2 linked regions of the Sus scrofa genome follow. The protein of the gene in region 1 interacts with the protein of each later gene in a pairwise test. Links are inferred from orthologs where the notes say so. Each region holds a gene or a part of one and is shown on either strand. Other genes may lie near its edges.

Region 1 (3,747 bases):
ACAGGAATTACCAATGTTGGTATTTTGTAAATTCTTTATGATCACAATTGGCTAGAGACACTGAAATAGCTGCTTTCATTAGATGCTAATCACAGAAGCCTGTGAAAAGGACAGAATTATTCACACACCTCACATTCACCCAACATCAAATCTTATCAGCCTTTAACTTTCAGCTTCTAGCTCTGTATGTACTACATAAACATAATAAAATGGTGTATATCTTTTATATTTATCCTCAAATATATCGCTTTCACACACATTAATATGCATATATATAATTCTTAAATATTACTTCCAAATATAAATAATTTCACATCAAGCTAAACAGGATAAAAACATGTAAACATATGCACTTGGTTCTGGTCAAGTAAAACACAAAACCACAAGGTAACCACAAGTTAAAGAGTGCACTTGAAAGGGATGAGAAGCAACAAATGTGTAAACAACAGAGATAAGCAGTTGCACCACAAGGCCCCTCCAGGGTCGATTTCTTAAGGCTGAAGTAGCAAAAAGCTCCTTGTTCAGTTAAGACTTCTCCCTTCACCCTGTCACATTTATTCTTGAGGGGCTTCAAAATGAGTGTGGACATTCTGTAAACACTAGACTAGAACTGAGTCAATCCTGTTGAAAACAGAGATGACAAAATAAACCATAAACTGACAGTCATATTAATTTCACCAAACAATAACTTTAAGGATGTTTTGTGACTTTTTAGCACAGTGAAACACCATAACCCTAGGGGCAAAGAAATGGGAATGGGCAAGAAAACAGAGATGGATGCTCTAAACAAATGGTTTCAGCAGCTTCTGTAAGTGACAGATGTGTCTATAAACACAACACAGGCAAGAGCAGATGACAGAGCCTCAGCACACCATACAACATGCCACAGAATGCCACAGATTCAAATTGAAATATTCTTCCAGCTCACAATGAAGCAAGTCCCACTGGGTCTCTGAGCAGGGGAGCTCATTAGCTCCCCATGAAAGAAAACACTGACACAACAGATTGGCCAGCCAAAGCATGACAAGCTCTTTTTTACAGCTTTTAAAGGGCATGTCGCCCTCTCCCACCTGCGGAGGCTCCAAAAGTTGACCACGCCAAGGACCGGGTGCCCCAGCACCCTGCCTCTGGGGCTCCTCTCCCTGGCCCTCAGGGAAGGCATGTTTGTAAAAACAGTTCTCTTCAAATGGGCAGAACCTGCCTCTTACAAAATACCTGCAGGGCTTGTGGCTCATTGCCTCCAGGTACTGCTGAATAAGTCTCTGCTTCTCTTCCTCCTCCTCCACCCAGAATTCACTGGGAATGACAAAGGTGGAGATGACTCTGCACTGGGGGCAGGACTTGACGACCCAGGTCCCAAACTGTCTGGCACTCCTCCACCTGCGGATACACTTAAGGCAGTAGGTGTGGTTGCAGCTGGAGAGGATGCCAAAGCGGCAATCATTCCGGTTGGCTTTCTCATAGACCACCTCCATGCAGATGCCACACACTTTGTCCGCACTGCGCTGCACGGCAAACGAGAGCTCCATATTCTGCTCATGTGCTTCCATGCAGGCCCTTCTATGGTCTGCCCTCTGAGCACCATCAAAGGGGTGCAAGACCTTCAGCCCACACAAATCGCACATATCTCCATGAAGATACATACAGCTTGGCCCACGAAAGCATTGCCCCATGATAGCATCGCGGCAAAGCTGCTGCCTCTGGCCCAAGGCAAACTGCTCCCTCACAGTCAGCAAGCCCTGTGGAGGAGCCACGTAGATAGGAGGGGCCATGCGGCCTTGGTACGGTTGCCCGGGAACAAACTCAATGGCATGCTCCCAGCCTTCCGCACCTGCTCCTCCCGCAGCTTCAAGGCCTGCATATTCAGTCTCGGCTTCAAAGAAAACCCTCTCAGCAGAGCCAATCAGAGGAAAAGAGCGTGAGGACACAGCCGGGGGGGCTTCCGCCACTTCCTGAGGCAGGGCCTCGGCGTGCGCAGCCGCGCTGGGGCCACTGTCTGTGGAGGCTGGGGGTGGTGAACCGGGGCCCTCCCTGGCCACCTGCCGCCCTGAGAGGTCATGGGAGTATCGACAGTTCTCCCCCTCCTTGCACTGAGCATGCAGATAATACCTGCAGACCACTTCCTTTGTCCAGCTGCCACTGCTCCGGCCCGGCAGCCATCTGGGCCCAGCCCCTCCCCCTGACTCCTGGGCGGGCCTCACACGTGACGGACGGAAGGGGGCTGGGCCTGGAGCCGGAGACCACCGGGAGGTGGGAGGCACCGGAAGGGTGGGCCAAGGCTTGATCTCCCCGGCTGCCTCGATGTCCCCAAATGTCCCAGCTGCCTCGTAGGGTTCTGTGGGAGCTGCAGGCTCTTCCATGGCAGCTTCTGCTCCCCAGAAATGGTACCGGAACTACCCCGGTGTCTCCTTGTGTCAGCCTTGAGGCCCGGAGGCCGGGCGCTAGCTCGGGGCTGATTTTTAGGAAGTGTGCATCTATTTTCTGCTTCCCCCGGTCCCTACTTCCTGTAATTGTGTTCCTACTTCCTTCTCTGGCAGCGCCGGACACTTCCTGTGGAGGCAACATCGGTCCTACATCACTTCTGCACGATCGGTCCGATCGGTCCGTCAGGAATGCTGACCGGCTTCCTTCTTTGTTCGCAGCCAGCAGCGCTGCCCGCTTTCGGCTCAAGCAGCGTCTCCGCTTCTCTGCACGCAGCCCCTGCTCCCCCGCGTCTCTCCTGGGGAAAGGAATCCCAGCCTTTTGAGGTTTTAATTCAATCGCTTCCATTGTTCCTTCCGACACTGTGATTTGAATGCTTTTTCATACATCTCTCTTTAAAGCGTCTAATCCTCGTTTGTTTTAAAGCCCCGTATGTTTAAAAGGGTGTCTTGTTTCTGAAACATCTCGTGCATAAATTTTATAAATGCTTTGTTTGTTCACTCCATTTTATGTCTGTGTGGGTCGTATTTTTTGTCATGTTTATTTATGGGTTTCCTGACTTTCCCTGCTAGCAGCTTTAATCCCTTTAGTTGTGTTGAAAAGACTTGAGACTGCTCTTTGTTTTCTGGAAATTCTTACCGGCTTTTGTTGGAAACGTTTTTTCCCCTGTGAGACATTAGCAGGGAGCGTTTGTGATCTGTGACTGCTTTAGTGCCTGTCAGCTGTCTTAGGTTATTGTGATTTCTAATGCTTCCCTCCCTCTGTGCAGAAGCAGCAGACTTCAGTGGGCTTGATGCTGGCTTAATTAGCCCCTGTGCCCTTTGTGACCCTAGCCTTTATTTTCTCTTGCTAATTTGACTCACAGTGGCTCTTTGTTTCCCCTTCTTTCATCCTTTTTTGTGTGGTATTGTGTTAGACCAGCCTTTCATAGCATATTCTATGCCCTGTAAGCGGTACCTCTTAATTTTGCAAGTGCATTTTATTATATTGGTTAAAAAAGTAAATTCTCAAATATAAAGCATATTTATGGATGGCTACTGAATTTTATCATGTAGTATTCTGCATTTTTTTGAGAGGTTATCATATTATTTTCTCCCTGTCTTGTTGTTGTGATTATTTGCACTGCTAGGTTTTAACTGTTTAACTTACCATTTTTTATTCCAAGAAAAACCTTTTTGTGGTATGATTTATTATAATTTTATATATTATTGGATTTCATTTGCTTAAACAAGTTTCTTGGAGGGAATTTATGGTCTAAATTTATATTTTTAAGTGTAAGAAAGCCTTAATATAGCACAGAAATTAGAAGCAAAGCAAATAATAAAG
Region 2 (3,747 bases), on another chromosome or scaffold:
GCCAGGTGTGCACCTGAGCTTGCAAGATGAGGACAAAGGGACTGGCAGCAGAGATACTGCCATGCAAAGCCTTTGGGAAGGGCCTGGCACACAGGATGAGGAAGGTGGGGTTGGGACTGACCCACAACCAAGCCCACTTCCTGTCCCAGGCTGCCCTCTGCCTGGGCCTGAGCTCACAATCATGGCCTTTTTTCTTGGCCCAGAGAAGTACAGAAACTTACCCAAAGTCACGAGCAAGTGACAGAACAGAGACAGGACAGTGGTCTCATGATTAGATCATCTATAATACATATATATATACATATATAATTTTTTTTTCCTTTTTATAGAGCCTCACCCACAGCGTGTGGAGGTTCCCAGGCTAGGGGTCCAATTGGAGCTACAGCTGCCAGCCTCTGCCACATCCACAGCCACACAGGATCCCGAGCCGCATCTGTGACCTACACCACAGCTCACGGCAACGCCAGATCCTTAACCCACTGAGCAAGGCCAGGGATCGAACCCACAACTTCATGATTCCTAGTCGGAGTCATTTCCACTGCGCCACAGTGGGAACTCCTATAAGACATATATGTTTTAACCCGGTGATATATGTATGTGGCTCAAAATTCAAAAGCTCTAAAGGGAATAAAGTTAAAAAAAAAAACCTCCCTCCCACTCCTGTCCCCAGTTTCCCTCCCTGCAGGCATCACTGCGACGAGATAGCTGCACGTCCTCCCAGTGAGATGTTAGTCACAAACAAACAATAATGGACATATAGTCTATTTTTTACACATATGGCAACAGCTCTCTGTACTGTTTTCATCTTGCTCTTTAACTCAGTTATATTGTTCTTAATATGTGTTATTAACATATTATCAATTATGTTATTAATTGTGCCACATCAGTACATAAAGAACCTGTCAGCCTCTAGCAACGGCCACCAAGTATGTGTGTCGTCTCTCTCTATTACAAACCACACTGCAGCCTCACTGCACCTCTGTCACTCCACCTAGAAGTGGGACAGCTAGGTCAGGAGGAAGCACCTGTAATTGCGACAGAGCTGGGGGGCTGTGCTGCATATCGACTGAACTCCCACCAGCAGAGCGCTCAGCAAATGATCAACAAATGTTAGCTCTAGTCATTTGATTACTGGGGTTTTAGGCACCCCTCAATTTTGCACTGGAGGTAACTACCTCACTTAGCCCAACCCCTCCCTGCGTCACATTCCAGTCAGAGAAGATAATAAACTTGCTAATAAGTGAAATTATAGGACATCAGCGCGGTAAATGCTACTGAGAAAAACAAAATAGAGAAGGGGGAGGGTGGGGCCATATGAAGTTGGTAAATATTTGTTAAAAGAATGAAGGAAAGACTTGTTTTCTTTCTGAGCTTCCAGAACTCCTCTCCCCCCCACCAAGGAGGTGGATTTGGAGGAGAGAGGGTAAGTAACTCCACTTAAAGAGATTCCAGACTTCCAGATGCCACCATTCTGAGTGTCTAGGAATCCAAGATTGAAGCCAGATAGACTGGGAGCCAGCCCCAGAGTTGCCAAGTCTGACCATATGACTTTGGGCAAGGGGCTTAACTTCTTAGACCCTCAGTTTCCCCACCTACAAAAGGACAGCAACAGCAGCAACCTGGGGGTGGGAGATAGGGGGTGGGGGTCCCCAGGAAACAGAGCCTGGTCAGATGCTCTACCAGGAGGGATCCCAGGCCCACCCCCAACTCCAAAGTCTCTGGTGACTAGTGTCTTTGGTTGAGGGGCTGCCTCTAGCCTTTCCCGCCGACCTGTGGTAGATTCCCAAGAATCCAACAACAACTGGAGAGCCAGAGCAGCCCCCCCTGGCACCTAGCCCAGAAATGTCAGTCCCACCAGAGCCTCTGAGAGGGACAGCACTTAATTCAGAGCCCCACAGGCAGAAAGATCCCAAGTGAGCCCAAAGTCCACCCCCTGGCTTTCTGGAGAAGTGAAGACAGATGTCCAGGAGGGGACCCCCCACCCCCACCCCGCAGGACGACACGGGAGAGGGACAGCCAGATGGGGCTCCAGCCAGGGCTCTACTGTCCATGTTCCTGTTGATAAGAGGCTAAGAAAGTGACCCATCTGAGCCTCTCAAGGCAGATCTATTTAGATCAACGTAGACTAGAGACTGAGGTATGGAGCAGAAAGACCTGTATCGGATTCTCTGCTAGACTAGGATACTGCCTCCCTGAGCCTCAGCGTTCTCATTTGTGAAATGGGGTACCACCTCCTCGCCGCAGGTACCACGCGGGGAGGACGCGCACAGCAGGCGCAGGGTGAACTGAGCACCCCCTAGACCCGGGCTGGCGCCCCGGGCCACCCGTGCCCTCACCTGGAGCCCGCGCTAGGCGAGTCCGGCTCCTCCAGTGCGGGTCTTGAGGAGGCTGACAGCTCGGACCCAGGCGGGGAACGGTCGCACACAACGCGTCTCGGGAGGCCCCAGCCCCGCGTAGGGAAGCACGGGAGGTCCTTCTGAGCTGCCCTCAACACCCGAGAGGAGGTAGGGGACTCGACTGTTCCAAGCCCCCACCAGAGTAAAGTTCTGGGGACGCAGGGGAAGGGGAAGTGAACGCGCCGCTCCCCCCTCCACCACACCGGAATGGTTTGCCCCGGACATCCTGATTGGTTTCTCGCTTCCGTTCGAACGCCGCGCCGCCCGCGTTGCCAGGCGACCACTCAGCTTCAGCCAGGAGGGTGAGCCCTGGCCGGCGGCACCGAGGTCCATCCCCGCCCCTCACCGCCTCTCACCTCCCCAGTGGCCTCTGGTTCTTGCCCTTGCTCAGCAGGGACTTACTCCCGGTTCCTAGTACTGACTTTCCAACTAACTCGCTCTGTGAGCCCGTGCACGCCCCTTTCCCTCTCTGTTCCCCAATCTGCAGAGTGAGTGGGTTAGTTTGAAGTAGCGTATATCCAGCACTCTCAATATTGACAAAGGAAATAACCGAATATATGAACAAGATTAATATAGCCCAGCTTTATTTACTGTAGCAAAATAACAGCAATAACTTCAGTGCTCAGTAAAAGGAGATTGGATATATAAATCCATCCTGCAGAAGAACTGAGTTTACAGAGCTTTTTACAAGTAATTTTTCATGACACAACTCTTGTCAGTGCTCATAGTTATAGGTACCTTTAACTATCCTCACTTTCTGATGAGAAATATTATGCAGTCATTTAGAATGACGTTAAAATATGGGGAAAGCACTAAGTCTTATATTTCTAAAAGTTGTGTCAAAGTACTATGTACAATGTAAATATGCATTAAATATGTAATTGTAATATCACATGGACTACATTTATGTATTAACATGTGCAATAGTTAATTTCTTCTTTTTGCTGATATGAATTTTCCAAGCTTCCAACAGTTAAACCAGTATAATTGTTTTCTTTTGGCTGCACCCTCAGCATGTGGAAGTTCCTGGGTCAGGGACTGAACCTGCATGACATTTGCAGCCTGTGCCACAGTTGCAGCAATGCCAAATCCTTAACCCACTGTGCCACAAGGGCACTTCCAAAAAACAAATTTTAAAAAGAGAATTAGAAAAATTAACTCAGCCCTTCCAGATGAGGGAATTTTTTAGCTGTGAGTCACTGTTTGGGTCTAGGGCATTGCTCATTTTGGAGTCAGACTGTTTTCCGTCCCAACTGGTGTTTTTCATTTTTTGATTGGATTGTCAGTGATTGAGCATTGACTGTGACATGCCTTGGGCAGGTGAGGGAAGAGGGCTAATAATGTAGCCCTA

Evidence for each region. The genes of interacting proteins can lie anywhere in the genome.
Region 2: the proteins of MKRN3 (region 1) and FAM110A interact in binary tests that used the Homo sapiens proteins (3 or more experiments, as listed by UniProt). The two-hybrid records come from large-scale screens. The link is inferred for Sus scrofa from reciprocal best matches to the Homo sapiens genes MKRN3 and FAM110A.

Annotation. Positions count from the first base shown.
Region 1 is NC_010443.5:142,498,482-142,502,228, forward strand, and holds the start of MKRN3 (probable E3 ubiquitin-protein ligase makorin-3), read right to left. Parts: upstream 2,488-3,747; 5' UTR 2,361-2,487; coding exon 864-2,360; 3' UTR 1-863. UniProt on the Homo sapiens protein: E3 ubiquitin ligase catalyzing the covalent attachment of ubiquitin moieties onto substrate proteins.
Region 2 is NC_010459.5:34,435,156-34,438,902, forward strand, and holds the start of FAM110A (protein FAM110A), read right to left. Parts: upstream 2,575-3,747; 5' UTR 2,337-2,574; exon of another isoform or gene 1-2,336.